Danio rerio: one gene and its partner. The protein of the gene in region 1 purifies or fractionates together with the protein of each later gene. This does not show direct contact. Links are inferred from orthologs where the notes say so. Each region holds a gene or a part of one and is shown in the gene's direction. Other genes may lie near its edges. The genes, in order: exosc2 and exosc10.

The links.
Region 2: the proteins of exosc2 (region 1) and exosc10 fractionate together in Homo sapiens (co-fractionation; 9 studies listed by BioGRID and IntAct, with this or other methods). This does not show direct contact. The link is inferred for Danio rerio from reciprocal best matches to the Homo sapiens genes EXOSC2 and EXOSC10.

What each region holds. Positions count from the first base shown.
Region 1 is NC_133180.1:78,499,201-78,515,697, forward strand, and holds exosc2 (exosome complex component RRP4), read left to right. Parts: upstream 1-6,888; 5' UTR 6,889-6,954; coding exon 6,955-7,082; intron 7,083-9,489; coding exon 9,490-9,591; intron 9,592-9,835; coding exon 9,836-9,881; intron 9,882-9,989; coding exon 9,990-10,079; intron 10,080-10,789; coding exon 10,790-10,855; intron 10,856-11,295; coding exon 11,296-11,364; intron 11,365-11,538; coding exon 11,539-11,715; intron 11,716-12,455; coding exon 12,456-12,584; intron 12,585-12,699; coding exon 12,700-12,780; 3' UTR 12,781-12,855; downstream 12,856-16,497. Other genes in the region: spra (sepiapterin reductase a), read right to left, coding at 1,040-1,230, 3,769-4,059, 5,788-6,091; tyrosine-protein kinase ABL1, read left to right, coding at 15,032-15,167. UniProt on the Homo sapiens protein: Non-catalytic component of the RNA exosome complex which has 3'->5' exoribonuclease activity and participates in a multitude of cellular RNA processing and degradation events.
Region 2 is NC_133198.1:16,305,101-16,321,602, forward strand, and holds the start of exosc10 (exosome complex component 10), read left to right. Parts: upstream 1-8,599; 5' UTR 8,600-8,661; coding exon 8,662-8,784; intron 8,785-8,960; coding exon 8,961-9,097; intron 9,098-10,873; coding exon 10,874-10,997; intron 10,998-13,612; coding exon 13,613-13,717; intron 13,718-14,110; coding exon 14,111-14,264; intron 14,265-16,502. UniProt on the Homo sapiens protein: Catalytic component of the RNA exosome complex which has 3'->5' exoribonuclease activity and participates in a multitude of cellular RNA processing and degradation events.

The sequences.
Region 1 (16,497 bases):
GAATATAAAATGCTGAATACAACATCTGGAATTACGAAAGCTTTCATTTAAATTTAGAGCATTTGTCATTATTTTATAACGAAAGGCAGCAGATATATAATCAGTAAACAGTATATATTTGGTCCAGAACTCTCAGTCATCTGCAGTTCACTTTAATACCAAGGCACTGTAATCATGGGTTAATCATCATTAATCATAAACACACTCTGATGTTTACATAGATTCCTCAATGCATACTAATGTAAAACATTCTGAATCCTTTAATACACACTGTAAGTGCTCATACATTAATAATCACATTATATATCTATTGTCATACAATCTCATGTTTTAGTAACAAAATAGTAAAGAATTTAAAATGTAGAGTGTTTATTTGGCTAGCACACATAGTTAGTCTTGAGGTTAATAATTAACCTTCTGTAAAGCAGTTTATTTAGATAATATTTAAATATAAATTATCTGCTCTGGAGAAACTGTCTCACTCTGACTGGCTGAAATATGCTTAGCCACACCCCTTCAACTATCAGTTAGCTCCAAGTGAAATATGAGAGGCGGGGCTTATAAATAAAACTCCGCCCCTACTTAATATTCAGTTTTAGTTGGAAATGTCAACATACTGAAACAAAAATCTGCAGCAACTCACGACTCACACTTACTGATAATATGCAAATGAAAGGCTTACAATGCAGAAAAATGCTTCCGATTTTGAGTTTCTGTCTTGTTTCTAGTCCAAAATATCAATATAATTATTGAACCAAGAAGCATTTTCTAGACCAGCAAGCAATATAGTCTTGTTTTCAGAAATAATGAGTCAAAATGAAGAGAGATTATCCTTAAAACAAGCGAAGTATTAGCAATTATTTATATATATATATATATATATAATAGCAATTACTTGACTCCTGTACGAGAGACTCCTGTTCTGTCTCTGTGTGTGTTTTAGGAGTCTATTCTGTGTGTGTGTGAGAAAGTCTCCTATTGTGTGTGTTTGTCTGAGAGACTCCTTTTCTGTGTGTGAGTGTGTTTACGTGTCAGCGATCTACAGGTCATAGTAGTCCAGGTGTTCTCCGGAGCTGTACTTGTCCTCCAGCAGCACGCTCATCAGCTTCTGAATGGACTGATCGCAGGTCAGCAGCTGCCCGTTGGCATGCATCTGGCTGAAGGTGTTTCTCAGCTCAGAGTCTGCGCAGCTGCTCCGCGCCTCACGCTGCATATCTGTGTCTAGAGGACCTGCGGGAGTCACAGAGAAGATACACACAAACACTAGCTTTAGTTAGATTGTTGTTGTTTTCCAATACAATAAATCTGTTAATCTACAATTTGTAGTGGTGCTCAATCAATTTTGGTGGTTGCTCCTAATTTTTTGAAGTTGAGAATGCCAATGCTACCAAGTTAAAAAATTCCTTTCAAGCCATGTCAGAGTAAGCACACACACACACACACACACACACACACACACACACATCAGCTGAAGGCCTGAACGCCTCTGAGCATCAATCCCATGACGCGTGAAAGATCATGAGCTCAATAAATCACTTTCATAGTTGAATTTCTTCTCAAATCACCTCCAGTTTAGTTCATGTTTACCCTGATCAGAGCTGATAGCCAGAAAATAGTTTTATATTGATTATTTTAGCCATAAGTAGGGAGTAAAGTTCACATTAAAGCCTTCAGAGTCTCAATGCAAGTCTACAGTGTATATTCAATGTCTGATTATTCAGCTTTTTCACACTTTTAAATTTCTAATGATACATTTAAGTTAGTTTGCATTCATAATTAATAATATATCACCTTTAAGACCTCATTTGCATAGCAGACCTTGATCACTACTTAAAAAATGAACAAGCAAGTGTGACACGAAGATCACTGAAGGATGTGATAAATCTACAGAACATAATCTACAGAACATTCATTCATTCATTTTCTTGTCGGCTTAGTCCCTTTATTAATCTGGGGTTGCCACAGCGGAATGAACCGCCAACTTATCCAGCAAGTTTTTACGCAGCAGATGCCCTTCCAGCCGCAACCCATCACTGGAAAACATCCACACACACATTCACTACAGACAATTTAGCCTACCCAATTCACCTGTACCGCATGTGTTTGGACTGTGGGGGAAACCGGAGAACCCGGAGGAAACCCACGCAAACGCAGGGAGAACATGCAAACTCCACACGGAAACGCCAACTGACCCAGCCGAAGCTCAAATCAGCTACCTTCTTGCTTTGAGGCAACAGCACTACCTACTGCGCCACCCCCTTATTGAGTCATTTTGCTGAAAATATCAAGTTTTCTACGAAACAAGAATGAAATGATGGTGAAAACAGGAAAGTAAAATAATAAATTACTCTATTACAAATGTTCTTTTAAAACAGTTCATAAAGCCACATGCGAATTACATTCATTAATTTACCGTTACAATTTGGCATTAAATAAATTTACTAAAACATGCTTGGCTAAACAGACACCCAATTTTAACAAACCACTATAAATCAAATCAGAAAAGGCTGTATTACAATTTTATTTGAATGCAAAAACCTGACAAATGTCTAAAATGCAACACCTGAACTGTAGATTCAGCAACTGTACACAATAATGCTCTCTGTTCCTCTGAATTATTAAAAAATAATGTATAATATATTCCCTACTGAACGTGTTATAACTATTTTTGAATGATTTTACACACGTCTGCTTTAGGGAACTTCCAGAGCAAATGATCATATCAGATAATCAGGTCATAAAATAAAATGTTCCTTATCTGATTGAGCAGTGAGATTTCGATCATGCTCTACTTTTATCTGCCAGCCAGGAAAATAATCACGCCTGGTATTTTAATATGCCATTGGTATCACAAGAAGATCCAAGACAAATCCTTCTTTTAGTCCACCAGATGTGGTTTGGTTCTCCTGATTATTTCATGACCGCACCATCACATTGTTTACATGGTGCTTTAAAACGTAATGGCAAAAATCAGTTTTGAGATTTAAAATACAATAGTGATACATTGCTCACGGTTATTACTGAAAGCTCTGGTGTGTTCACATTCAGTTCAGTTCTATTGGTTTCTTTAGTCTGGACTAAATAAATGCCAAATGCATCCTGGCTTGCTTAACACTGACTTACCTGCAAGCTCAAACCTAATTGTGTGCTGCTGTGAGCTGGGGTGAATGTACTCATTGTGCAAGTGCATGACACCATTATTATCAGTTATGGCTTAATAAACTGTGCATAATGAGTGCCTGTGTAATGTGTGCTTTTATTAATGTTCTGGTCTTGTTTTGGAAGTGGCCATCTGCTGTATTGAAAAACTGTTACTATGATGAAAATGAAGCAGGGCTCTCATTTATAAAACTGCATAGAAACGAATGCACATCGGAATGAACCGACAACTATTCCAGCATGTTTTACACAGCGGATGCCCTTTCAACCGCAACCCAGTACTGGGAAACACCCATACACACGCTGTCAGTTTAGTCATCAGTTCCCCTATAGCGCATGTGTTTGGACTGTGGGGAAAACCGGAGCACCCGGAAGAAACCCACGCCAACACGGGGAGAACATGCAAACTCCACACAGAAACTGACCCAGCCGAGACTCAAACCAGCAACCTTCTTGCTGTGATGCCACAGTGCAAAACCACTGAGCAAAACCCTCAGTTCCTGCTAAAAATGCAGAAATAACGCTGAGAGAAGTGTAGTGCAGTAATCCACATAACAATAGGTGGACGAAAACACAGCTAATATTCTCACCATGATGCTCATTATGTACCTGGAGCGTAGTTCAGCACTCGGAGCTCCGGCTCCTCCTCTGCGAGGACGCGGAACATCATGTCGCGTGCCGCCTTGCCGCTGCAGTACTGAACCCAGGTGGGGAAAGGCCGGAGTGCACACAGCGAGCTGATGTTCACGATGACGCGGGTCAGCCCGGAGCGCTTCGGGTATGTGCGGAGGACTCCCGCCGTCAGACAGAGGGCGGAGCTTACATTCAGCGACAGGTATGAGTTCAGCTCTTCCATATTGGTGAAATCACGACAGTAACGAGACACATCACCGAGAGAAGCTGCAGGACACACAGCAGCAGAATATCAATCGCTTATACAAAGTCAAGAGGACAGATAAAGCAGTGTTTCCCAAACCTGTTCCTAGAGGCACACCACCAACAGTGCATATTGTCAACGTCTGCCTTATTCTGATGAGCTGATTCAGGTGTGTTTGATTAGGACGAGGTATAAAATGTGAACTGTTTGTGTGCCTTCAGGAACAGAGTTGGGAAACACGGAGTTAGAGAACAGAAAAGTTATGGAGTAAAAGTTCCAGCAGTTCCAGCGTTATGGATGTGACATTTGCAGTAAAATCTCAAAACATAAATCGACAGAGGAAGTATATGTTAACATTATATTGAAACATATGTTTATATTTTTCAAAACAACATGGCCAGAGTTGTGGGAGCAGAAAAATACCAATTTTATATTTTAAATTAGGGAAATATACATGCGTTATGGATGTGACAAAAAAAGTCCAAGTTTGCAGTATACAACATACTTTGTAGAAATTCTGTGAATTAAACTGCAATCAAAAGGATAAGAGTTGGCTCACTATAGAACAACCATGATTGATTTTATTTGGTTTTAGATTTTTGCATTTATGAGGAAAAAGCTTTGTTATGGATGTGACATCTCTCCATTATGGATGTGACGGATGAGCAATGTGACTTTGGTAAATCAAATATAATAGTTTGAAAACACAGACAATTACATTTTTGAGTATTTTTAAAGCACTGTAAAATACAAACACACACACACAAAAAACGCAGAAACAGGTTTACTCTTTTGGCAAAATATATAAAGAAATATATTTAGATGTATATATAAATATATATATGGAAGAGATCTTAGTCCAGCACTTATAAAACTCAAGCACTTTAGGAACATTTGTTGTCCTTCCTTGTGCAAGGTTTAAGTTATTTCATCACGGGGTAACATTTAACTTTACAGAGATGTTACGTTTCCTCACACCAAGTAATGATTTCAAAACAATCTCTATACAACACTAAATGTATCCACAGACATAAACAACCGAAACAATCACATCAACAAACCATTGAGATAACAAAGGATATATTATACATTGAATGCTTACCACTGAACTGAGGTTTAGACATGCCTTTCTCTTTGGTCTGTAGACAAGCGGTTTCACGTTACGTTAGGCTCACCTTATGTCAGGTATTCAATAATAAAAAATAAATTTTACGTTACATGGAATTATTCGATAACAAGACGAGAAAGTATAGCTATAGTGAGTCAGGCCGTTACAAAACGACGGTTGATTTTTAAATGAAGGTTTTGACCGTTAGAATTTAGGCGCGCAGAACAGAAATTCAAATAAATGTGAGGTTTTGATGCCATCTAACGTTCCTCATTATTACTGAGTAAATCATTTATGACTATTTTAATATTTAACTAATTATTCCACATCTTGATTAATTTAAAATTTTCATAAATGCTGTATTTACAAATTTAGTTCTGTAATTCTGCAAAATATAGCTCATGAATTACATGAAAACAAACATCAAACATACAAAACAAATCAAATCATAAAGGTTATGTATGTTTTTTTTTTTGTTTTTTTTTTTTACGTGTCCCCTCTTGAAGTTCTGGGAAAGTTGTTTTATGGTTGGAAAAAAAGTTAAATCTAAAAAGAATTCGCAAAACGTTATCTTTGGCTTTAAAAAACTAACGTTAACAGGAATCAAAATCTAACGTTAAGGGAACGTTGAGTGTTCTCTGACCGGCGTTATGGAAGAGCAGCAGGTGCTGGATGTCCGGCTGGATATCTCTGGTCTCGGCAATGAGTTTTTCCACTCCTGCTTCACAGCCCAAATCCACCGGGACGCAGCGGACGGTGAGGCCGGTCTCCCCGCGGGTCAGCGCGCTCTTCAGCTCCAGCAGCTGCTCCTCCGACCGAGCCGCGAGCACCAGTACTGAGCCCGGAGATACACGTGCCGCCACCGACAGAGCCAGAGCTCGGCCGAAGCCCCGGGATGCCCCGGTGATGATGACCAGTGCTTTCCCGAATCCCGAAGCCGTGCTCATGATTCCCCAAGGACTGACGAGAAGAGCTGCCGAAGAACCGGAGAGTTCAGCATCGATTAGTCACGCCTCCGGAAGACACGAGAGACCCCGCCCACTTTATGGTTTATTAATAAAATAATAAACTGTGAAATAGAAAATTTATGACTCCAGGAATACACAAAAGAGTAAATATAAAACAAAACAATAGACAAATGAGTGAAAATAACAAACAATACTGTAAATGGGGTTAAAAGAATGCTAAAAACATCAAGAAATAATTAAAGAATCAGAACAGTGATAAATATATATACAATAAATCTATACAAATTTATATTAATAAATATATACAAATTTAAACAATTTACTAGATACAGTAAATATCTAGGCCACGAGATCAATTCACACAATAAAACAATACATAAAAGATATTTAGGTGTATGAAAATGTGTAAATAGTAACAAATATAATAATAAATATAATAATAATAATAATAATAATAAACATAATAATACATGATTATTTATATAATCTCATTCTTTTAAGAACCTGTGTTTACACAATAAAAGAATAACAAAAATAAATGTAGAAAGCAAATTGGTTCTGAAAAGTATAAAATTATTTTGTTAGAGCATATAATGTTAACTTAATGTTTTAATGTATTAAAGTTTTGCTATATTGTCATTTAAAATGTTAAATATAAAAAGTCTCTTAATTCTCGTTACAAAATAAAACCTCACACATTGTATAACACGAACTTAAATCGTTATTTAATGACCAAATTCAGATGATTAGATGCTCAAACCGAACACGAACACAGTCGGGCTTTTATTATGAAGTGGAGCCGTGCTCGCCGCCATATTGCCCGGCTATAGTGTTGTTGAAGCATGGCGGTGGAGATGCGGCTTCCAGCGGTTCACAAACACGTTTCCCTGAAAACAGGACAGAGTTCCCGCGAAGACAAACACCTGGTTGTGCCTGGAGATGTGATCACCTCCGACACGGGCTTCATGAGGTACACAGACATTAATAACTGGTATTAACTGAGCTGTTGTAGAATAAATGTGTGTGTGTGTGTGTGTGTGTGTGTGTGTGTGTGTGTGTGTGTGTGTGTGTGTGTGTGTGTGTGTGTGTGTGTGTGTGTGTGTGTGTGTGTGTGTGTGTGTGTGTGTGTGTGTGTGTGTGTGTGTGTGTGTGTGTGTGTGTGTGTGTGTGTGTGTGTGTGTGTGGAGTGAACTCGTTGAGACCTGCAGTCTGTCAGTCTGTAGCGGACTTGATTGAGAACTCAAGTTAGTGTATGTAGTGTATTTGTTCAGTGTTGGAGAAAGTTACTTTACTGACAGACTCTTCTGGAAAGTAACTAGTTGCGTTACTTTTTACGGTGACGCGTTACGTTACTTTTAAAATACATTATTTACATGTGTATTGATTGAGGTAAAGTTGGTTTGTATTTGCACGTTCGTTCATTTTTGAACGGTGATAACTTGTGACACGTTGCCTGTATTGTACTTTGAGTATTCGGTCTGAAATCGCATGTAGTTTGACTTAAAAACAACATCAGCACTATTTAATTGACTGTAAACAATGTTGTACTCTGATAGTCATTGGCTGCTGATATGAGTTCATTATTAAAATTTGTAAAGATTACTTTTTTGAAACTGTATTATTAAGAAGAAAGTCTGAATGTGCCAATATAAAACCCACTTTACCTCAATTGTGGATTGCTGTAGCAAAGTAATGCTTCACAACTCTGAAAAATCAGTCATCAGATATAAATACTAGAAAGATTTTAAATGATATATTATTTGATAAAAGTGCTCTATGTTTAGACTGTAATATTATGCTTTAAAAATGCAACCGCAAACATTCCCACAGGTTGTAGGGTTAAGGATTAAAACTTGTTTAAATGGCCTTTCCAGCGATTATATAGTTTGTCATGATTAGATTAGTATTTAAATGCAGTATAGTGAATTAAACTTAATCGTCCTGCCACTGAGACGTTGATTGTTAATGGGTTAAAACAGAACCTCTAATGTGCCAGTAAAACATTTCAATAGCATTGACTAACAAAGTCACCAAAACAGAACTTCACAGTCTGCATAAGAAGTCCATGCTTTATAAACGTCAGGGACTAGTATCATAGAGTTGTAATGATAGGATAAAGTCTGCATGAGAGCGATTATGCATTATGGATGTGACATTTTAACAGTGCTGTAAAATACAAGCCTACTCAAAACACCGGGAAAGGGTTTGGTGTTTTTGTGAAGAATGTATTTGTTTATTTTATGGCAAGGTTGACATTTGCATGGAATTGCTCAAAATCTAAAAGGTCCAAGACAAGTCTAATATTATTACTGATGTGTCTAGCTCTTACAAAGCCGGACTGTGTCTCCACAATCAGCTGACTGATTCTTTATCTTTAATCTGTTAGGAAATATCAAAAATAAATTTATCGTCAACAGTGATGAGCGTGATGGACACCAATTATCGGTTTGGGAACACCTCGTTTCATTGATGATGTCTTGTCTTGTCTATTAGATCAATGCATTCATTATACATCCAAAGCAAAGGGTTTTTAATTAATTTGTGGAAAGAGCATACCAATCTTGACGGATAATCCATCATTGCTGGGAGATTTACCTTTCTTCATGGACGATTCGAACTTTCTCCAAGGTCAAATTGGAATCAGAGTATATTAAATTCAGAACTGGATCATGCGTTTCCATTTTATTTACAAAAACAATCCTTACATTATCTGTCAAAAGCAGAAGTGTAAATGTTTTACTAAAAATCTGTAACAAAATTAACTATTAATTAATTTCCGAGTGCCCCAACTTTCTCTTTTTGCGTGCACTCTTGCGTGTCTATATCTGAAATAATAAACCTGAGCTCATGGTGAGAACTTGTGTGTGATTATTAAAGTATTTTTCACATCCATTTAGAAATGGCCAAACATGAAAGTCAAGCTTAAACAGCAATGTTAATATGGCTTAATAAATGTTTTATAGCAGTCTAGGAATAGAATCATAGCTTGTGATGTTTATAGTCTGCATAATCGAAAAGGTCTAAAAAACTGTAATATTATTACTGATGTGTCTAGCTCCTACAAAGCCGGACTGTGTTTCAGCAATCAGCTGAAATCTTTAATCTGTTAGCAAATATCAAGGCTAAAATTTTATTGTCAATAGTGATGAGCGTGATTGCACGCTAATTATCTAAATTTTAGATCAATGCATTCATTATACATCCAAAGCAAAGGCTTTAATTAATTAGTAGAAAGAGCATATAAATGTGCCGGTCAATCCATCATCGCTGGGGTGAAACAAGAGCCCTTTAAATTTTGCTTTACTGTCTTATTGAATGTGAAATTCCAATTGTGCGAAGATAAAAACCGTTTTCATCTGACTTCACCTCGTCCTCAGGGGTCACGGCACCTACATGGATGAAGACAGACTCACCGCTTCAGTGGCAGGACAGGTGGAGCGAGTCAACAAACTCATCTGTGTGAAACCGCTGAAGACCAGGTGCACACTGACTTACACTAACGCCACAGCACAGGTCTCAAACTAAATTCCTGGAGGGCCGCAGCTCTGCACAATGTGCCCCAACCCTGATCAACTGTGTTTGATTGGCTTGGAGCAAAACTGTGCAGAGCTGCGGCCCTCCAGGAGTTAGAGACCTGTGCACTACAGTATAGCACACTGCACTTCACTAATGTATAATGCTGTGGTAATACTGTGTTCTAGATGTGATGTTCTCCTCCTGCAGGTATAACGGAGAGGTGGGTGATGTGGTTGTGGGCAGAATCACTGAGGTCAGTGGTGTTCAGTAGTTTATGTATAAAATCTCTCGTTGTTGTTGTTGATGATGATGATGATGATGATGATGATGATGATGATGATGTGCATCTCTAAATGTTAAGGTGCAGCAGAAGCGATGGAAAGTGGAGACTAACTCGCGTCTGGATTCAGTGCTGCTGCTGTCGGCGGTCAATCTGCCTGGAGGAGAGCTGGTGAGCTGGCAACACGCATTCAAGGGGCAGTTCACACACAACTCAGTTACAATACTTTAATGAATGCTCCCGCACTCTCTACCATTAACTATAGTGGACTGATAAATACCCCGCAGTTGGCTTGTTTGTTTATATTATTATAGTTGTTGTGTTACCATAGCAACTGTAGAATTACCACATCAGAGCAATTACTATTGTGGTTGTGTTACCATAGCAACTGTAGAATGGCCACAACAGATCAATTACTATAGTTGTTGTGTTACCATAGCAACTGTAGAATCACCACAACAGATCAATTACTGTAGTTGTTTTGTTACCATAGCAACTGTAAAATCACCACAACAGAACAATTACTTTTGTGTTTGTGTTACCATAGCAACTGTAGAATCACCACAACAGATCAATTACTATTGAGGTTGTGCTACCATAGCAACTGTAGAATGGCCACAACAGATCAATGACTATTGTGGTTGTGTTACCATAGCAACTGTAGAATCAGCACAAAAGATCAATTACTATAGTTGTTGTGTTACCATAGCAACTGTAGAATCACCACAACAGATCAATCACTATTGTGGTGTTACCATAGCAACTGTAGAATCACCACAATAGATCAATTACTGTAGTTGTTTTGTTATTATAGCAACTGTAGAATCACCACAACAGATCAATTACTATTGTGTGTGTGTGTGTGTGTGTTTTTTTCTCAGAGACGTCGTTCCACGCAGGATGAGCTGGCCATGAGGGATTATCTGCAGGAAGGAGATCTCATCAGTGTATCCTCCACATTTACCGCATCAGACATTCATCATCCCTGGATATACAAACAGTGTTCTTACTGTAAAAATACAGTCATTTAAAATAGGTATCAGCATTGAAAGAAAGCTGAAATATATAATAAAAATGTTAGCTTTCTTTCAATGCTAATACCTATTATAAATGACTGTAAAATATGACCTTTTTTATTAGTGCTTGTTTAATAAATACATTTATATTTGAGTTTTGGAAATAAAAAGTCATTAATATTAGCACTTATTTGTCTAATTTAGCATGAATCATTTTTCCAGCCTTATTTATTTTTGTTAGTAAACCTATAACTAGGCATTACCTGGGAAAAATAAAATATAATATTTGCAAAATAGATCAAATGTCACAGGAGGCTAATAATTCTGTCTTCATCTGTATATATTCTACTGTATTCTTTAACGTGTGTAAGGCGGAGGTTCAGTCGATCTTCTCGGACGGCGCTCTCTCTCTGCACACGCGCAGTCTGAAGTACGGCAAGGTGAGCGTGTAGAGCCTTATATACTGTGCTGAGTCCCCCAGATTTCTCTGTTACAGTAATCCTCTCTCCAGAGCGCTCTACTGTCCTCTCTCAGTGCAGACACCGTAGATCAGTCAGAACCAGTCAAACCCATCTAACAACACTGAAGAGCTGCTGGTCTGGGTTGTTTTTCAGCTGGGTCAGGGTGTGCTGGTGTATGTGTCTCCGTCGCTGGTGAAGAGGCAGAAGACACACTTCCACAATCTGCCCTGCGGAGCGTCGCTGATCCTGGGGAACAATGGATACGTGTGGCTGAGTCCCACACCGGCACTGCAGGAGGAGCAGGCCGGAGGATTCTACACCAGCATGGAGGTGTGTGTGTGTGTGAGAGAGAGAGAGAGAGAGAGAGAGAGAGAGAGAGAAAGAAAGAGAGAGAGAGAGAGAGATTAGCATTGTGTGTGTGGGATTGATTGTGGGAATGGATGTGCGTGTGTGCGCGCGCGCGTGTGTGTGTGTGTGCGCGCGCGTGTGTGTGTGTGTGTGTGTGCGCGCGTGTGTGTGTGTGCATGCATGCATATGCGTGAGTGTATGCATGCATGCTTGTGTAGGTAAGTGGGCGTGTGTGTTTGGGATAGTGTGTGTGTGGGATTAGCATTGTGTGTGTGTGTGTGTGTGTGTTTGGGATAGGGTGTGTGTGTGGGATTGATTGTGGGAATGGATGTGCATGTGTGTGTGTGTGTGCGCGCGCGCGCGCGTGCTTGTGCTTGTGCTTGTGCTTGTGCTTGTGCTTGTGCGTGTGCGTGTGCGTGTGCGTGTGCGTGTGCGTGTGCGTGTGCGTGTGCGTGTGTGTGTGTGTGTGTGTGTGTGTGTGTGTGTGTGTGTGTGCGCGCGCGTGCATATACGTGAGTGTATGCATGCATGCATGCATGTGTGGGTAAGTGGGTGTGTGTGTGTTTGGGATAGTGTGTGTGTGAATGATTGGGTGTGTGTGTCTGTACTGGTTTTGGTGGTTTACAGGGACAGAAATGTGTATAATGTTGTGTGTGATCTAAATATAACAACTTGTGCGCGTGTGTGTGTGTGTGTGTGTGTTTGTGTGTGCGTGCGCGCAGCCTGTGTCTCTGTCGGATCGTGAGGTGGTCTCTAGGCTCAGGAACTGTCTCCTGGCTCTGGCCAATCAGAAGGTGCTGCTGTTCGACACCAGTGTGCTGTACTGCTATGAGGCGTCACTGCAACACCAGGTCTCAACACACGTCTGTCTGTCTGTCTGTCTGTCGCTTTGACTGTCTGACAGTCTGTCTGTCTCTAAGCGTGTGTGTGCAGCTCTTCATTCTCAGTATCTTTGCTGTTCTCCAGATTAAAGACATCCTGAAGCCGGAGATCATGGAGGAGATTGTTCTGGAAACACGGCAGCGTCTGATGGAGCATGAAGGCTGAAACACCGCTCTATATATAATGCATATAACACACACCACATTATTCATATTTTGTAATAAATTTGTTATAACACCCAAAGCGTGTGTGTGCGTGTGCGTGTGTGTGTGTGTGTGTGTGTGTGTGTGTGTGTGTGTGTGTGTGTGTGTGTGTGTGTGTGTGTGTGTGTGTGTGTGTGTTGATCATTCTCTCAACCTGAAGAGTGCTGGAGAAACACACATTGACTTTCATCGTCTTTATTCCTGCTATTGAAGGCAGCGGCAGCATTCTTCAGAGTATCTTATTTTGTATTCGACAGAAGAAACCCATAGGTGTTTAGAAGCAGAGCAAATGAGGATTAGGGTGGAACGGTGGCTCAGTGGTGTCGCACTGTGTGCTCACAGCAAGAAGGTCTCTGGTTTGAGTCTCGGCTGGGTCAGTTGGTGTTTCTGTGTGGAGTTTGCATGTTCTCCCCGTGTTGGTGAGGGTTTCCTCCGGGTGCTCCGGTTTCCCCCACAGTCCAAACACATGCGCTATAGGGGAACTGATCAACTACACTGGCTGTAGTGTATGAGTGTGTGTGTGTGAATGAGTGTGTATGGGTGTTTCCCAGCCCTGGGTTGCAACTGAAAGGGCATCCGCTGTGTAAAACACATGCTGGAATAGTTGGTGATTCATTTCACTATGGCGACCTCTGATATATAAGGGACTAAGATGAATTAAAATGAAAGTAGATCTCTATTTCTGTGTGAACTGACCCCTTAAGTGTGTTTCTGACGCTGCTCTGTGTGTTTATTCCACCAGGGGGCTTCAGTGATCACACAACTACAACTATAGAGCAACGCTTCTGCAACCTTCAGCAGTAATGCACTTATTATAAAGAGCAGATTTATTTAATTGCTGTAAATTATAACCGTATAATTATGTATTTATGTGCTGACATTATGATGTGCTTTAATCAATGATGGTTGTTTTTAAATGTGCTATGTAAATACAATCGAATTTAATATAGTTGTATAATAATATATACTAATAGAATAAATATTATTGATATTTAAGACAGTAAAACTCAACGCTGTTGCATCAAATTAAAGCTATTTTGGAGTTTGTTGAAGTATTTTTGTATTAATAGATTATTGAAATAAATATCAATCAGGTATAATTTAGTATGATTCAGAATGATGTTATATTAATATATAATATTATTTAATAATATTGTTGAATTAGAGAATCATAAGTCATATACACTTTAAGTTTGAAGTCTTTAATTAGGAATGTTAAAGAGAGCATTAATCTTACAGTTTTGTATAATATATGTTTTCTGCGTACAGGAACCGCAGCGTTTTTATTTTTAACTGTTTATTATTATTTATTCATATTAGAGACAACAACAATAGGTAAACACTTCTTACAAGGCGTTCACATCAAAACAAAATACAAGTTTTCGCTTGTTGGCGGAAGAGCGCGGCGCGTGACGTCACGGGCGCAGCTCGCGTGCGCGAACATGGCGGTTCCTGCGACGACGAACGACGCGAAGAAAAGTGCTGGAAGTTATGAAATATTACTAAAACATGACGAGAACCAGCATTAAAACACTGCGGGGGAACCGAGCGGGTGTCCGGTGAGCAGAAGAGCCCGACAGCGGAGACACGCGGCGGGTAGAGGAGCGTTTAAATCCGCCTCAGAGAGAGAGAAGTGCACGCGGAAGTGACGAGACTTTACCAACTAACCAGAACTCAACACCACAGCCAAAGGCAAGAGTTAAATCTGCACAGAAGAGCCTGGAGGGCTTCAGTGAGATCCACACACTTTATTCATGACTTTAATGAGCATCAGGAGATACAAACACGGTCTCATCTGCTTACTGAATGACACCACGATCACACCAAACGCGTTTACTGCACTCCCAGACTCTTCCAGTGGCTAATAATTATCATAATAACTCTAATAATGATGATCATTGAGAGTTTCACGCACACCAGAGCGTCTGAGTTCATCACTGACCCCTCTGATGTGCTGATATCTTCTCCTTTGAGAGTTTGATGTTGACGTGACGTCAGAATGATTGACAGCTCGTCAGCAGTGATGTTCATGCATTAATGCTGACTCTGTGAATGAGGATGACTCCTTCATACATCCCACAGTGCCTTAGAAACACTTCTAACCTCTAGAAGGCGGGGATCTGATCTGCGGTCAGGCTGGCACATGCATGACTGGCACAGGGGAGTGTGTGTTTTCAGGCTCCTCCAGCTGATCTCCTGCGCTGTGTGTTCTTATGGGGCAGCAGCCAGGAAAGTTAGTGGGTGAGCAGAGGAGACCGAGCCTGCCGGCACTGCCCTTCATCAAGGCCGCGGGGAGGAGAGAGACGCCCCGGCACGGAGCACCGCACTGCAATGTGTTCACGGTCCACGGTCAGTGCCAGATCCAGCACACCACATTCACTCATCACTCAAGGGGGCAGTTCACTCACGAATGATCAGTAGGGAACATTTAGGATCAGGGGGAGGCCAAGCCAGCCTGAGATCCCCGAGGCTCTGCAGTGGTTGTGGAAATTATAAATTGAACCAAAGCAATTATAATTGGGTTAAGATTGGCTATGACAATTCTGGAAAACCAGCAGAGCCTTGGAATTAATAATACAATTAATAACATTGAGGCCTTGATCACACTGAATGCACTTTTAATGGTGCGAGGTGCCTTTTTTGAATGGTTATAAATTGGTTGTGAGTGTTTGTGCACTGCTTAGGGGCCGTTCACACAGAATGCATTTTCTTTCTGTATAGTGCACTACTATACTATTGTTTTTCAATGTAAACACACGCTTGACGTACGTGTCTGACTGCTACGTTGCATCTTTTGAAGCATCTCGTTTTTTTAAACGCCATGTCTGGTTGAGAGGTCTTCGACTTTCACACACAGCACAGTCAGTTCCACAGCAGTGGACCAATCAGAAGAGTGCTTGGGTGTTGCAAGCTTCAGTTTATAGTAGAAAGTTGGCATGATAACTCTTATTTAGCTTTATGGCAGAGGAGGCGCTCATTCTGGCTGTGTCCAGATTAGGCATGGGACGATATCCGTGTTCAATGTGTACCGTGGTTTTGAAAAGTCAGGGTTTTAAATTCGTCAAAATTTAAAAGATAAATATTTTAAAGATTTTTTATTTACATTTTTTTTTAGGACAACAGTATCTCCAGCAGTAAAGATCTCCAAAGACACTGTTTTAAATAGTAAAGAAATCAGTGCTTTTGAAACTAATGAAGACAGCAGAAGTCAATAATTCACGTTTACTGCTCCAAAATACTTGAAATGTTTCTCAAATTGAAATAAATTGTGTACAAAGAGGAAAAAAGTTTTCTATCCCGACTTTTAAAAAGAATATATTTTAGATAGGAGTTTCAAAATTAATTGTTTCTTCAGTCCACCACGAAGCAAATGCAGACAATTCAGAACATCAGAAAGATCCAGCTAACTCTATCAAGCCTCTTCAGCTGCTCCAGAACGCAGCAGCACGAGTGGTCTTTAATGAAGCTAAAAGAGCACATGTCACTCCGCTGCTCATCCGTTTGCACTGGCTGCCAGTTGCTGCTCGCATCAAATTCAAAGCTCTGATGTTTGCTTACAAAGCGACTTCTGGCTTTGCTCCTTCTTATCTGCTCTCACTTCTGCAGATGTATGTGCCCTCCAGAAACTTGCGTTCTGTGAATGAACGTCGCCTCGTGGTTCCATCCCAAAGAGGGAAGA
Region 2 (16,502 bases), on another chromosome or scaffold:
CACTACTATTTTCTTGAATGAAAGAGGAGTTAAATAAATTAAGATTTACATCTATATAACAAATTGATTACTTTTCTTTTTTTATGAATTTAAACAGTGATGTAACTTTTTTACGTGAAATTTAAAGGGATTTGATTTACACAAAACAAAACAAAATTCTACTCATCATTCACAAACCTGTTTTTTTTTTTATTCAGTTTAACACAAAAGAAAATATTTAGAAAAAAATGCCGGAAACTAGTAAACATTGACTTCCATGGTATTTGTTTTTCCTGCTGGATGTCAATGATTACCAGTTTCTAACATTCTTCACAGTATCTTCTTTTGTGTTCAGCAGAAAAAAGAAACTTGTCAATGTTTGAAAGCATTTGAGGATGAGTAAAAAGTGGGTTTGTTGATTTTTGGGTGAACTATCTCTTTAAATGAATCAGCAAATGAGTGGTAAACAATTACCGGTATACCTGAGCATGGCCCTCCTGCTGAACTTGTTTGTAGATGTTGAAAAGTCTGGCTGTAAAATCGTCAACTTTGATGGTGCTTTTGAAGTAATAAAAAAAAGATACTTAATACAGCAACATTATTACTAACAGTAAAGCCTCCATTACAGGGATGCACAATTTTTTTCGTATGAGGAGCCAAAAACCAAATATCTTTGAAAGCCGTGTGCCGAAGGAAAATATCAAACTATAATACATTAAAGTTGCATTTCATAATATTTTTCATAACATTTCAACATTAACAGAAAACATTACTTTAAATCATATTAACTAATTCACAATAACTTTTAAATTATAACTTACAGCGATAAAAACAATTACATTTACACTCACCGGCCACTTTATTAGGTACACCTGTCCAACTGCTTGTAACACAACTTTCTAATCAGCCAATCACATGGTAGCAACTCAATGCATTTAGGCATGTAGACATGGTCAAGATGATCTGCTGCAGTTCAAACCAAGCATCAGAATAGGGACAAAATTTGATTAAAATTACTTTGAACCTGGCATGGTTGTTGGTGCCAGGCGAGCTGGTCTGAGCATTTCAGAAACTGCTCAGCTACAGTACTGGGATTTTTACACACAACCATCTCTAGGGTTTACAGAGAATGGTCCGAAAAAAAAGAAAATATTCAGTTAGCGGCAATTCTGTGGGCGCAAATGCCTTGTTGATGCCAGAGGTCTGAGGAGAATGGCCAGACTGGTTTGAGCTGATAGAAATGCAACAGTAACTCAAATAAACACTTGTTACAACCAAGGTATGAAAAAAAGCATCTCTGAACACACAACACGTCCAACCTTGAGGCGGATGGGCTACAGCAGCAGAAGACCACACCGGTTGACACTCTTGTCAGCTAAAAACAGGAAACTGAGGCTACAATTTGCGCTGGCTCATCAAAATTGGACAATAGGAGATTGGAAAAACGTTGCCTGGTCCGATGAGTCTCCATTTCTGCTGCGATATTCAGATGGTAGAGTCAGAATTTAGCGTCATAAAAGCAACATGAAACATAAAAGCATGGATCCGTCTTGCCTTGTATTAACAGTTCAGGCTGCTTGTGGTGGTGTAATGGTGTGGGGGATATTTTCTTGGCACACTTTGGGCCCATTAGTACCAATTGAGTGTCATGTCAATGCCACAGCCTACCCGAGTATTATTGCTGACAATGAACATGTAAGGTTAAAGTGGCTGGTGAGTGTATATCACAGTGGAGTTAATGCCAAATAAAGTTATGGTTTGGGTACAGTATTTAACCGGCTGCTCACTGCAACCAGACCATTACAGTGACTAACTGGCAACAGTGTTGGCGGTATTCCACAGTAAAAAAAAAATGGTTAAGGTCTAAGAGTGCAGCCTCTGAAACCTCAGTTTGGGACGACCTGCAGCAGAGCAATCGTACTATACCTGGCCAGTGTGTCCTCTAAAAAACTGTGATTCTGGCTGACCCGGTCCACCAAGCGGTTAAACTGTGTCTGCACTGCCAGTGCCTGATGAAAGAGTGCTGCTGGCACCGATGTGGGAAACAATGTGAATGGTGCATAACTCACCACCTATCAAAAAATACAGATTTATGGTTTAAATATTTTTATTATAAGAAATTTTAGCAAACATTTACTTGTAAATATATATATTATATATATTACATATATTTATATACAAACATAAACCTTACATTTTAACAATAAGACAAAAAAAAAAACAACCAACAGTCATACAAATAATTAAACAATAAAATAAACATGCATTCCCCCAACCAACCAACCAACCACCAGTGCTCTGCAAAGGTAAAAGTAGGTACTAAAGGCATAGTGAACATATTATTCACAAGTTTGTAGAAAGGAAATAAAAAGGGGACCAATTATTTTTTTTTTTTTCAAATAAAAAATCTTGTCAATAGGGGTATACCGATTTTTTTCCAGATGAAATGCACCCGTTAACTCTGTCAGCCATAATTTAAGCGTTGGAAATTATTTTTTCTTCCAAAACAAAAGGAAAAGTTTGTTGGCAGAGATCAACCCATTATAACTGTTGTTACACTAGTGTAACTCTCAAACTTTTTTCAGAAACTTCAAACACAAACACAGATTTAATTGAGTGCACTAGAGATATAATAATATGAAAATTTAATATCACTGAACAAAATGATCATGCTTCATAATAACCAATCATGCTTTCAATGGTAATGACAATTTGAAACATTAATAAAAATGTATCTTGTGTACACTATAATATGCATCTACAGCACCAGAGCCATTCAGTCACTTCTGATTGAGCGAGAGGTTTCTGACAGTGTCCACTCGATGAAGCAGAACTAACACTCCATAATCCAGAAACAAAAACGGCCAGAGGACACACAGAATTCCAGACATGACTGGGACAAGATGTCGCTCAGTGCTTCAGTCAAAACACTCACAAAATAATTGCCACCTATGAGTCTGGACTAGACATTTTAGCTCTGAAATGCTACAAGGGAAAGCTTTATTTGTATTAAGATAAAATGAAAACCACAAATTTAGCTCAAAACCTATGCAGATAAACAAAAAGTACTATACATCAGAAAATAATAATACATTTAATACAATAATACACGTTATAATATCACACATTAAACAATGAATTGTCATGCTTTGCATTAAGGTTTTGTGGTTAGTTAACATGAATTCTAAATGAACAATACTTGAACAGCATTTATTAATCATGGTTCAGCATTATAAATAATAATAATAATAATAATAATAATAATAATAATAATAATAATAATAATAATAATAATAATAATAATAAGTTTTTACCAATAAACATAATAAATATTTTGCATACATTTTACCACAAGTAAACATGCATTTCTTTATTATATTTCTAAGTAGATAAAGACGTTCTCTTACTTCAGGAGAGTTTGGCGTGTCTTTGGTCCGCATCAACACTCCATGTAACAGCGCCGTGTCTTTTGCTATCTCCTCTAAACGTTTGATCAGGTTTTCATCTTTCAGGGTGTCCTCCAGTTTGACAGACATAGTACTAAATCTGCAGTCAGAATAAAACACATTTGATTCATTTTATAAGCAAATGCTTCACTTGTCGGAGTCTGATTTTCAGGGAGCTAGACATTTTCATATACAAGTCAAGATTATTACCGCTTCTGTGATTTTTTTTTTCTTTTCCAAATATTTCCCAAATGAAGTTGAACAGAACAAGGAATTTTTCACAGTATTTCCATAATATGTTTTCTTCTGGAGAAAGTCTTATTTGTTTTATTTCAGCTAGAATAAAAAGCAATTTTTTTTTTTACATTTTAAGGTTAATATTATTACCTCCCTTCAGCAATAGATTATTTCAATTGTCTACAGAACAAACCATTGTTATACAATGGTTTGCCTAATTAACCTAGTTAAGCCTTTAAATGTCACTTTAATCTGAATATTAGCATCTTGAAAAATATTCAGCAAAATATTATGTATTATCATCATGGAAAATATAAAATAAATCAGTTATTACTAATTAGTTAATAAAACTATTATGTTTAGAAACTTTCTTTCCGTTAAACAGAAATTGGGGAAATATACAGCAGGCTAAAAATAACTGTACATTATTTTCCTGTAATGGAAGCACCATCAAATTAAACTTAAATGAAACACATTTTATTTTCTTTACAAGGCCTGTGTTATTATTAAAGATATTAAGTTATTATGTGCAGTTATTATGCAAAAACAAAAAACACACATACACATCTACTTAAAACAGGCTTGTCTAATTTCCTAACACCCACATTACAAGTATAAATGTCAAAAACGTGATGTATAGTAGATAGAAAGCCTGAAATTCATGAGTTTTCTCATTTCAAGTGACTTTTGTAAAAATAAAATGTTAAAATATGGATGGAAATAGGCATAAGACGATATGGCAATGTACAATGTATAACGCAGTTTGGAAAAAAATCAAGGTTTTAAAATCGCCAACATTTTCTGTAATACCGTTCCTATGGTATATGTAAGATACTTTACTTTACTTTACTTTACTTTACTTTACTTTACTTTACTTTACTTTACTTTACGTCCACAAGTGGAATTTTTTCTTTGGCTTCACCACACAACCACATCAGCGTTCACATTACACACATCACAGAAAAAACAGGCAACACAAATACATTCAATGTTGTAACTTATATCACATTAAAAAAGTCAATTTATAACCCTATACATATCTTTTTTAGGATAACAGTATTTTTAAGCAGAAAAGATCTCCAAAGATGCCATTTTAAATTGTAAAGAAATCAGTGTTTTTGAAACTAATGAAGACTTAATGAAAACTTAATGATTCATTTAAATTATTTAGCCTGGCATGTTTACTGCTCCAAAATATTATAAACGTTTCTTAAATTAAAATATATTGTGTTCAATGAGGGAGAAAAGTTTTTTTTTTTTTTTTTTTACCCAGACATTTAAAATAATATATTTTAGAGCAGTAATCACAATACAATGAAACTGTGATAATTTTAGCCAAGGTTATCATACCGTCAGAATCTTATACCGGCACATGCCTAGATGGAAACTGTATTCCATGATCTTTCAGTGTTAAGCATACGTTCATGTAAAAAATGTCCTAACTAGTACTTAATTAAACTTGTAACATTATAAGTAATCATACAAAATACCATTTTAAACCACTACAAACTTCTTAATGCCAAATGGCTAAAGGTTTTAAAGAAAGTATGAGATTTAAATTTTAAAAATAAGGAGTATTTTGGGCTGTACAGCAATTTCTAATGAAAACCTTTAATATATGAAAAATGTATATTGTTTCATGACATTTTTATAGATAATTCATCTATTTTTCTTAGACTTTCAACTATTTCTACATTGAACAATATTTTAATAGGTGTGTTCTGTGAATCATGCTAAAATGTATAAGTAGTATTGTATATATATATATATATATATATATATATATATATATATATATATATATATATATATATATATATATATGTGTGTGTGTGTATATATTTACTTTATTTTATATATAATGGCTGTAATAAACTTCAATTGTTCTTTGTAAAAATGCATTTTGGTTTTTGACCCACATACATCTTTCTGATATAATAAATAACACATTAACATACACCTCCTTATACTGTGTACAATATTTACTAGCTTTACTGGGACTTTGCACTAACGTTACGCTCCCAGAAAGGGGAAGTGACATATTTACGACTTCATTGAATCGCAATTGAATGAAACTGTAAACAGTATAAGATGCTAAAGGTAGCGTTATATGATGATGAAACGATCATATCTCTACACTCACCATGACACGGCATAACTTCACCCTATTACACTCACAAACAGCACAGTAGGTGGATGTCAACAATTAGCCCAAATAGTTGTAGAGTTAAGCCAAACCTGATAGTCGCGGGCTCTGTTTGGTCTCTCCTGCGCCTCTGAAGGTCGTTGTTTACAGTGAGTCTGTATAATATATTTAATGCCTATTCACCTGCTCTGAAGGTGATGAGACTGACACAAATGAAGTGGCTTCAGGCGTGCTAATAGATATGTAAATGTATGTGTGTGTGCGTGTGTGTGTGTGGCGCTGTTTGTATCAATGGCTGACAGCGACCAATCAGCGAACAGGATAGTTATGACGCAAAAGTCGACGTGCCCGCGCAGCATTTCTTTTGTAATGAACGCAATGTGCTTAATTTCCAACCCATGATGAATCAAACTAAGACAAGATTGAATATCTTGCTTTAAAGTGATTTATCCCTGAATGGGAGGGCTTTTACTGTCCAAAGCAGAATTTCTGTCTGTGTCTAGCTCTAGACATGCCATCCAATGTACAAAGAATTAGATCAAATACTATTTAATTTATTTTTTGTTTATTTATTTTTTTAATGGAGGAATAGACACCACTATTAAAAAAGGGGAAATTCTGTGTAAACAAAAATGCAATGCTGGGTTATCTGTGCTAAGTTTTGAAACTTCAAACAATGCATCCAAAATAAATTGGTGGATTAAATTCATGAAAGAAAAGGACAGTATGCATGCGGTTTACTTTTCCAGAACACATATTTGACGTAATGGGGGTGTAAAATTTATGTTGAGATTTCTGGTGAAATTAGCTACATTTCACAAACAAGCTTTATTGGCCTGGATGCTGGAATTTAATTTCCCCCCCAAAGCAAGTATATTATTTAGAATAAATTGAAAGTTTATATGAATAGATAAATATGTAAATAAATCTATGAAATCCTGCATAAATAAAACAACAAATAAATAAATACGCAAATAAATAAATAAATAAATTCCTGCAGAAATCAAACAACGAATAAATAAATTCCCAAATAAATAAATTCCTGCAAAAATAAAAAAAATGAATAAATACCCAAATAAAACAAACAAACAAACAAATAAATATATAAATAAATCCCTATATATATAAAAAATGAATAAATAAGTATCCAAACAAATGAATGAATAAATAAATAAATAAATAAATCCCTATGTATATAAAACAATAAATGAATAAATACCGAAATAAATATTTATATAAATAAGTAGATATGTAAATTCCTGCATGAATTAAACAATGAATAAATAAATACTCAGATAAATAAATAAATAAATAAATAAATAAATAAATAAATAAATAAATAAATAAATAAATAAATTCCTTCATAGATAAGACAATGAATAAATAAATAAATAAATCTCAAACAAATAAATAAATATATACACATATTCCTGCAATAATAAATACATAAATGATTAATTGTTTGGGCAGATAAAACAGCTTTCAGTTTAGCATTTACCATTTACTTATTCCCCCTAACATGAATTTAATTATTTATCTGCCCACACTATTAATTCTTTAAATATGTATATAGGCAGGAATTTGTGGATTTATATATAAAATAATAATAAAAATATATATTAATAATATATTTGTGTGTGTGTGTGTGTGTGTGTGTGTGTGTGTGTGTGTGTGTGTGTGTGTGTGTGTGTGTGTGTGTGTGTGTGTGTGTGTGTGTGTGTGTGTGTGTGTGTGTGTGTGTGTATTATTATTATATTTTTGGTGTCGTCCTCTATACCCGCCCCTCATTGATTGATCGTTAGAAACAAAAATGTTGGATTTTTTTTTTCATTAGAATGGTGACCATTGGGAAAAGTAAATACACAACTGTTAAAGAAATAAATAAACATTTGAAAGGGCAGAAAAATAAACTTTCAGTTCAGCGTTTTCTTATTCCCCCAAAATTCGTATTTTATTTAATTAATTACCTGCCCGCCCCACACTAATTGTTGATATATGAATTTGTGAATTTTATACATTTATTTATTTGCATATTTATTTATTTAAAGTTTTATTTCTTTACAGCGCTGCACGGTGGTGCAGTGTAGCACGATCGCCTCACAGCAAGAAGGTCGCTGGTTCGAGCTTCGACTCGTTCAGTTGGCGTTTCTGTGTGGAGTTTGCATGTTCTCCCCGTGTTCACGTGGGTTTCCTCAGCTAAATTGTCCGAAATGTATGAGTGTAAATGAGTGAGTATATGGATGTTTCCCAGTGATGGGTAGCAGCTGGAAGGGCATCCGCTGCGTAAAACATTCTGCTGTGGCGACCCCAGATTAATTAAGAGACTAGGCCAAAAAAAGAAAATTATTTATGCTGGAATTTAGGGATTATTTACTCATTTATTTATATATTTGCGGATTTATTTATTAAATCATTGTTTTTGTTTTGAACTTGGTGTAAAAATAGCTAACTGCGTGTTAAATCCCCTATTTTATGGCACTTAGAAACATAAAAAGCTAGTGTAAGAAAATTAGTGCATTTAACAGAGTGCTTCAGGCGACATTAATTAACATAAAGGCAGGCTACGTTTAATTAGATTTAATTATCAGTTTGTAATTAATAAACTGCACTTTAAAGAAAATATTTTGTGAACAGTGGTATTATACATGTTTGGTCTAATGTGTCGTTGCAGTTTCGCAATTCTTACCAGCAGATGTCGCCAAGCTTATAGTGTTTTGAACGACAGTATATTCAGTGTATTCATTGTGTCCTTCAGGTGGCGATATCAGCTGTCATGGTCGTCCACACACGCTTTGCCAAAGAAGAAAAAGATTTTCTCGTGCGGCTGCACTTTCGCGATTTAATGTTTTCAACATGGCGGCCTCCTCGAGCAGCGCTGCCGTGGCCAAACAGAGCGACCATTCTCCATCAGCAGAGGAAACAGAGGCAGAAACTGAGTTTTGTCCGGGCTTTAAAGACGTCGACACATTTGTCAAGGTTTGTAGTTTGTTTGAATGTGTGTCAGCGCTGTCATTATCTGTGAATACACCGCAGCGTGGAGAGATTGAGAGAGACATGTGTGGACACGGAGTGTTTTTCGATCATTAAATGCACGTATGTTGTCGTGTAATGATTGTAGTTGCTGAAGCAGGTTTGTTTTTGTGTGTGTTCAGCATGGTCTTGGAGCGGTGGTGTCCGCCACCAAAGCCTCTGCTGCTCTTCCATCAGCGGGAGATGAGTTTGATCTGTACCGCAGTTTCTCCTCCTTCCAGCAGTTCTGCGCCTCACAAGGAGACCGACTCTTACACTGGTAAAACACTCAATAAACAAATACCGAAAGACTCATTATAAACACTGAATTGTTTACAAACACTGAAACACCATTTACAAGCACATTGTGGGCAAAATAAACATTGGAACATTACGCACTCGTGATAAACATGCTGCTGCAGGTTGAGGTAAAGTTGCTTTTATATTTGCACATCGCACTTTCTCCGTAATAATATATCTTCAGAAAAGTATTTCTTGTAAATTCTTAATAGGGGAAATCATATTAGTAGCCAAAGAATATTAAAGTACAACATCGTCCACAGTCAATTAAATGTTTCTAATGTTGTTTTGAAGTCATACTTGCATGTGATTTCAGAGCGAATATTGAAAGTACCATGTTAAAACATATAGGGAACGTGTCACAAGTGTTCAAAAATGAATGAATGTGCAAGCATAAAATCAAATTTACCTTGATGCTTTATAACATCTAATAGATGCTTCAAAGAATGTCGTTAACACTATGACACCATAATCAGAGATAGCCAGCAAATAATGCTTTTTGTAAGTGAACATTTGTTTGATTTATTACGATTAAAAAAAAAACATGAACATGCATGCATTGTATAATACCATGTATATCATACTACTAGCCAATTACTAAATATTCAATAAAATAAACCTACTATTTTTTTTCATAATTAACGTTTTTTTATATAAATATTGTAAAATGTATTGTATTTTTAATGTTTACAGATGCCATTAAGATTACTCAAGTAGTTATGATATGTATAAATGATAAGAATTAGTAAAAGATGAACAGAGAAATGCAGTAAGCTAATAATAGTAATAATAATAATAATACAAAGGTGATGATGATGACTATTATTGGTGTTAGAATATTAATTTCCACACTAGTAAAATAAATACTACAGCAATGGTAATATTATTTTACAAGTGATCTTAGGGCCTTTTGTACAAACATCATGTAAACGTGTTTTGACAGTAAATTCTAAACATGCATGCATTAATAGTTACAGTTTTGATAAGAAAATAATTTAATTACATAAAGCTTTTGGTAAAATGTAAAACTGCTATTAAAATATACTAGAATTTTACTGAATGGAAACTACTACTAGTTATAATATTTAATATTATTACTATTAGTATTATATATGAACTTAGGAGTTCTTGGACAGTGGACAATATATAGTTTGAGCGTTGATATTACAATGTGTGTATCCACAATAGATACAGCAGCATCTGAATAAATTATTAAAGATTAAGATATTATTATTAAATATATTTTTGTTTATTATATTTATTAGAATTTTTAAATCATTTTTATAATGATGACGATGTTATTTTATGTTTGATTGTTAAATTTCTATACCTGAATAAGAAAACCTTTAAGCACTATTCACCTTTTCTCTTTGCTCTGCTGTATTTATATATGCTTGTAATTTATTATGATTTATGCAAACGCACTGGACAGAAACAGACTTGATCATCTCAATCTATCTAAATGAATGAAATCTTTCCAAATCTAGCTATTCTATTCATCTGGTAAAATTATATTCATTGATAGTATATATGAATAGTAAATATTGCAAAAAAAAAAAAAAAAAAAAAAAATTCTATATATATTGCAATGTCAGATTTTTCCAATATTGTGCAGCCCTACTACTAGGTATTCTTAAATATATATGCCACAGCATACTGCATAAAGCTTATCATGTCAGTGTCAGTAAAGTTTACTTCACTGGAGACTGACAAAGCAATTTTCTTTTTTTTCTTTTTCTTTTTTTTTTCCTGACAGTATGAGCCAGATAATGCAGCACCATGGCTGTAGATCCCACATGAGAGACCGGAACAAACTGACTGGACTGGAGGACCGCTTTGACCTGGTGGTGGACGCAAATGATGCCATCCTGGAGAAAGTGGTACGAGTCTCTCACTGACACGCACACATCGCTGAAGTTCTGGTTCAGTGCTTCCTGTTGGCATGTCTGTTAATGCTGAGAATGAGAAGGTTTATTCCAGACACTGAAAGTCAGGGAATGCTCATATATTTTTGTTAATCTCCTGGAATATCAGTGATTATTGTGTTATTGCTTTAAATTTTAGTTTCCATTCAGCAAAATGCAACTTTTCTGTACCATATTCACATCTATAGTTACTCTCATCAACTCCCAGTCATTTAACTAAGGCTAACATGTTGGGACAATATACATTGTAAGAGATTTGGTTTCAAATGACAACTTCAAAAACTTTGTCAGAAGTAGACCTCAGGAATTTGTTAGGCTATCATATGTGGGAGAGAGAGCAAATTTGTTTTAATATTTGAATTATACTAAATTATTGATTGTTCTTATAATGCCTGTTAAAACTTAAAATGATATTCAGATTAAAATAATTCTTAAATTATTTTCTTATCTATCCATGTATTTATCTATAAATCGTTTTTATAGGAACCCTGCTGTTGTGTTTACATTTGAAATTAGTGATGCTCATATCAGGATTTTTGCAGCTGATACTCAGTACTGATTCCTTGTCATGGTGATCGGCCGATACCGAGTACCGATTCTGATGCTTCAAGCTTTATAGTGCATAAAGCACATTTTCCCTCTAAGTATGATACTTAAGTGCAGACGTCTCCTTTCCTAAGAGAAAATATTAAGGATGTTGCATATAATCCCATATCTCTCATTACCATTTAGTTTGGGCATGTAATGGTCAGACACAGGTTTACAGAAAATAATAAATAAAACATGTAAAACAAATTGGTTAGAAGTGACTGAAAAAGCTATTTAAAAACACTGCTAATGACAGAAGAAGAATTCAACATGTTTCAATGAAGAAAAAGTTTGGTGTATGGGCTTTATTTGATGGATAAGAGTTTGAGCTTCACACCTATTAGTACATTACTTATTTACTTAAAGGAAGTAGGCCTATAAACTACTGTTTATTGCAATAACTAGGCCTATATTAGGAAAAGTTGTATTATTAAAAAATGAGTAAAAATATTTATTTCATTAATATTTCCAGCTAGTCTTTTTGGTGAACTTGCAATATTATCAAAAACACAGAACTTTCAGTCTTTGTAAGTAAAAGGCATAAATACCTGCAAGCCCATTAAAATATCTCCTTGATAGGAGCTCAACGATCAGAGCTCAGGACACTCTCACAGCAGCTCTAAGAGAGAGCAGGGATTTTCTTTACTGCACTATTCATTTAACCTATCAAATATAATGCTTAGAACATTACTGTGTGATGTTCACACTATCACAGTCTGTTCATTGCTCATTCACTTTTGTCACCATGATTTGCAGTTTATAGTTTACAAAGTTAAAATGCAAAGAAATGAACAGTGATTTAATGCCCTGCTACATTTGTTATTCGTAATTTCATATACAGACAACCACAATTTATATCATTATAAAGATGTGTGTTTATGTAAACACTATAAATGAGGACTTCTCCCTCAATCTCCGTATCCAGCAGACTCAGTGCAGCAGGTCTCCTGACCTGTCTATTTTAACCATTAACCCTGCTGGTAATCTGGAGGATTTAGGCAAACACAGCTGTACGGCGATGTGTCTGAATGTGAACAAACTCCTGATAAAAGACAGCGTCCGCCATTCTCTAATTCTCGTGCTGCTCTCCCGACAAAAATGCTAGCAGCACACACACAGCTTTGCTGTATGATCGGCCCTGACAAGATCGCGGGGGAAAACATACAACAAACCCAGTGGATCATGGAAACAAACACATACGAGCCTTCATGAACGGCTCAATACTGTGCCGTGGTTTCCGTGTCTCTCAGCTCGGGCTTGACACTGGCAGGTCTGGCAGGTCTCAAGAATAATTAAGCAGTCGGCTCTTCTCATAGGATAAGAAAACTCTGCTATGATTAATAATGAGAAACCGACGCGTCATCATTGCACTTGCACGCGTCATCATCACTGCGCTACGTCGCCGATTTTGATCCCGCCCCAAAAATCATTTTAAACCCGGAAGCTGAAATTAGCTGACAAAAGCTCAAAATTATCCAGTTTTTCCCACAATTAAAGCTGACAGGTGCTAACATTGTCTTAACTGATGCTCAACACACACACATCTGTTAATATAAAAAAAAAAGTTCTCCGGGGTGTCCTGAACCTTTAAACGCTGGACATACAATGGTTGCACTTGCAACAAAGAGACATATCACTCGCACAAGTCGTGCCAATAGTTTGTATAAATTTTATATTTAAGCTGTTGTGGCATGAGCACAGTGATTACTCACACCCACATGCATCGTTTACCTCTTCACGTGTTACAGCACTGCTGACGAGTGCGCGTGTGTCTTCCTCTGTGTGTAAACTAAACAAACACGATCGATCGGTTCATGAGATCGGTCAGATTGGCGAGTACCGATCGATTCATAAAATGTGATAATCGGCCAATACTGATCTCCGGCCAACCTCTTGGAGCATCCCTATTTGATTATCCTTTGAAATTGCGTAAAAAAGTTCACACCACATATATGACTCTGCCTATTGCTTTGTTTGTGCAGGGGATTCTCCTGGATGAGGCCTCCGGTGTAAGTCGCTCCCAGCAGCCAGTGATGCCTGCAGGATATCAACCACCCAAAATCATTGTGTCTAGCTGGAATCGCAAGGTTAGTTTTCCTGCACATTTTTTTTTTACATCACCACTTATCTGTTTTTGGCATTTTATATAAAGGATTATATTTGTACAAGTACTTTTTGTTTAAAATATTTTGATCAACAATAATTAAAAACCGCATTGATGAATAATTCTGACATTTTTGTAAAAAAAAAAAAAAAAAAAAAAACATGTTTCTCAAAAGGATTGTATTACGTAGTGACTTTATCACTTGTAATGTGCCACTAAACTGTTGGAAATCTAACAAAAAGATCTTCCGAAAATCCTGTATTTGCAGATTGTTTCAATGCCTTGGGTTGAATAATGTTCTATAATACAATAATAATTTATTAATATAATAATAGCTGCAGTTTGACTAGACATTGAGATTTTATTTTCCTTGCAGGGTGGAGGTAGCCGAGCCCAGACCTTTCAACTTCTAGCTGCCAAAAACATACAGCGGCCACAGCTCAAGTTCAGAGATAAAGTGGACAACAGCAACACTCCGTTTCTCAGTAAAATCTTCATCAAACCCAACGCAGTCAAACCTCTGCCCTCATGTAAGTGTGCAAGGAAACCAGCACCTACAGCACGATCATTTGTATTTGTGGGCTGATTTTTGGTGAATATGAAGAATTTAACATCTGCTAGAACTCAGTCCTGGAGGACCGGTGGCCTGCAAAATTTAGTTTAGGCCCTATGCACAGCTAGAGCTTTAAAGCCAACGATAAACTTCCGGTGAAATTTCAATGTGACTTTTCAATTTTACAAGGTTCCTTTTACAGCATGGATGTTGTAACGTAATTACAATACATACTGTTAAATAGACTTAAGCATTCATTTGGTTATTTAAGCGTAAAACAAGATGAAAAATCATTATAACCACTAGCGCAGTCAGTAGCAACACGCTAGTAGCAGAAATTCCATTGAAAATGCTGGGGTAAATAAAACATGGCAAGGGAAATGGAATTTAAAGGGCCATGAAACCCCCTTGTTTCAGCAGGGTGTTTTCACACCTCTACTTTAGAAAAATTGCGCTGATTTACACTGAGGCAAAACAAACACACAGATGCAAGGCAGAAAGACAGTGACTGTGGTTACATGGATGTCAGTAATTGAATTATTTTCCAAATTATTAAATGGTGGACTTTAACTGCAGTTTGGCACTTTCATTCAGGAGTTTCATTCATGCCCCTAGTGATAAACCAGATATTTGATTCGAGGAATTGCTGAAAGCGTGTATTTTTCATGCAATGTTTGATACCGCACTGCGAATGAGAGAAAAAATCCTCCACATTTCTCAGTAACTTAGATGCACTTGGCAGGTAGCGTCAGAAAGCCGTGTGTGTTATTCCTGTCACAAAATGCGGCGAAAATCCTACACGACTGTAAGTTTGATTGTGGTTCTTACATGTTTACACTCGGAGAGCAGCATTTACAGCAGATTTTTCAGTCCATAGTATTGTAGTGATATTAGCGTACGGTAAACTTTATTAACTTAGAAATCATTTGACTAAGGTCTGTCTTTAAACACTGTTCACACTGTAAACAATGTTCCTTAGACGCGTATTTCTGTTGCGCTTTGTGTGCACTGTAATCCACACGTGAGTCCAGCTGCGCTCTCATAGAGGGAAAATAAAAACAAAACCTTCACTGCAGCAAATTATAAACACAATACTGATGACTCGTATCCAAACATTTCTTGTTCTCCCACTTGGCAACACAACGTGGCGTCTCTCTGCCGTCTGAACACTGTACAGGTACAAACAGTCTTCAAAGCTACCATGCATATTACTGAGGTTGCACCGCATACACAATAGAGCGCGCTGATTGGTTTAAACCAAGTCTTACTCATGAATGAATGCAGCACACTCCGAGACGTAATAAGGCACTCTCAGGTACAGACGTCCAGTCTACACGCTGGAATACACGCTAAAATCTCATAGCCGTGACACGGCTTCAAAAATTGGTTTCAAACTGGAAGAACGAATTTGCTCGAAATAACGCTAAAACAACCTATTTTCACTTTTTAGTGAAATATTTGTCCTAATAGTGTTTTTAGTAGTGTGGGACACATATACGACTGTCAACAGCTCAAAAAAATGTTTTGTTGTTTCGTGACCCTTTAATGCAGTGCCTCTTGTCCAATCTGAGACCCATTTCATATCGCATTTTTAACAGGCAGTGAAGATTGCTGATTTTTAAAGAAATCAGATCTTAGATGTGACAATTTATTAAAGGAAAGACAGTTCACTAGAAGCCCTTGGGCTGCCTGGCTGAAAATTAAAAGTCTGAGTGCATATAGCCCATTAGACACACCTAGACAAGCTAATCAAGCTCTTATTTGTTAAAAAATTGATTAATTCATAAACAAAACAGAAGTGTTTTCTGAGATGAACAAATGCTCTTCTCTATCTCTTTAGTTACTATTTATTCACTAAAGAAAATGGTAACTTAATGTTAACTTGGTTGTTTGTTCAATTGTTTAAAAAAAAAAAAAAAATCAATATTTCATTTTTGAATACAGTTTCATGGGTGCCGCTAGGGGGGAAAAGTTAGCTGTTTTGGGGCTCCCAGAGTTACTATTACAACCCCTACTCCCTCTATTACCCCCACCACCTGCTATTCACTTTCGTACACTACAGTGCCCACCAGAATGTTGTCATAGGGCCCGTACTGGTCAGCGGCGCCCCGGCTTACTTGCTTAAACATCACTCATTCAGTAATTTTGATCTCTCAAGATTTGTTTTTAATATTTTTTTTAAAAGGCAGTAAATACTCTCTTTCATCCACCTGTT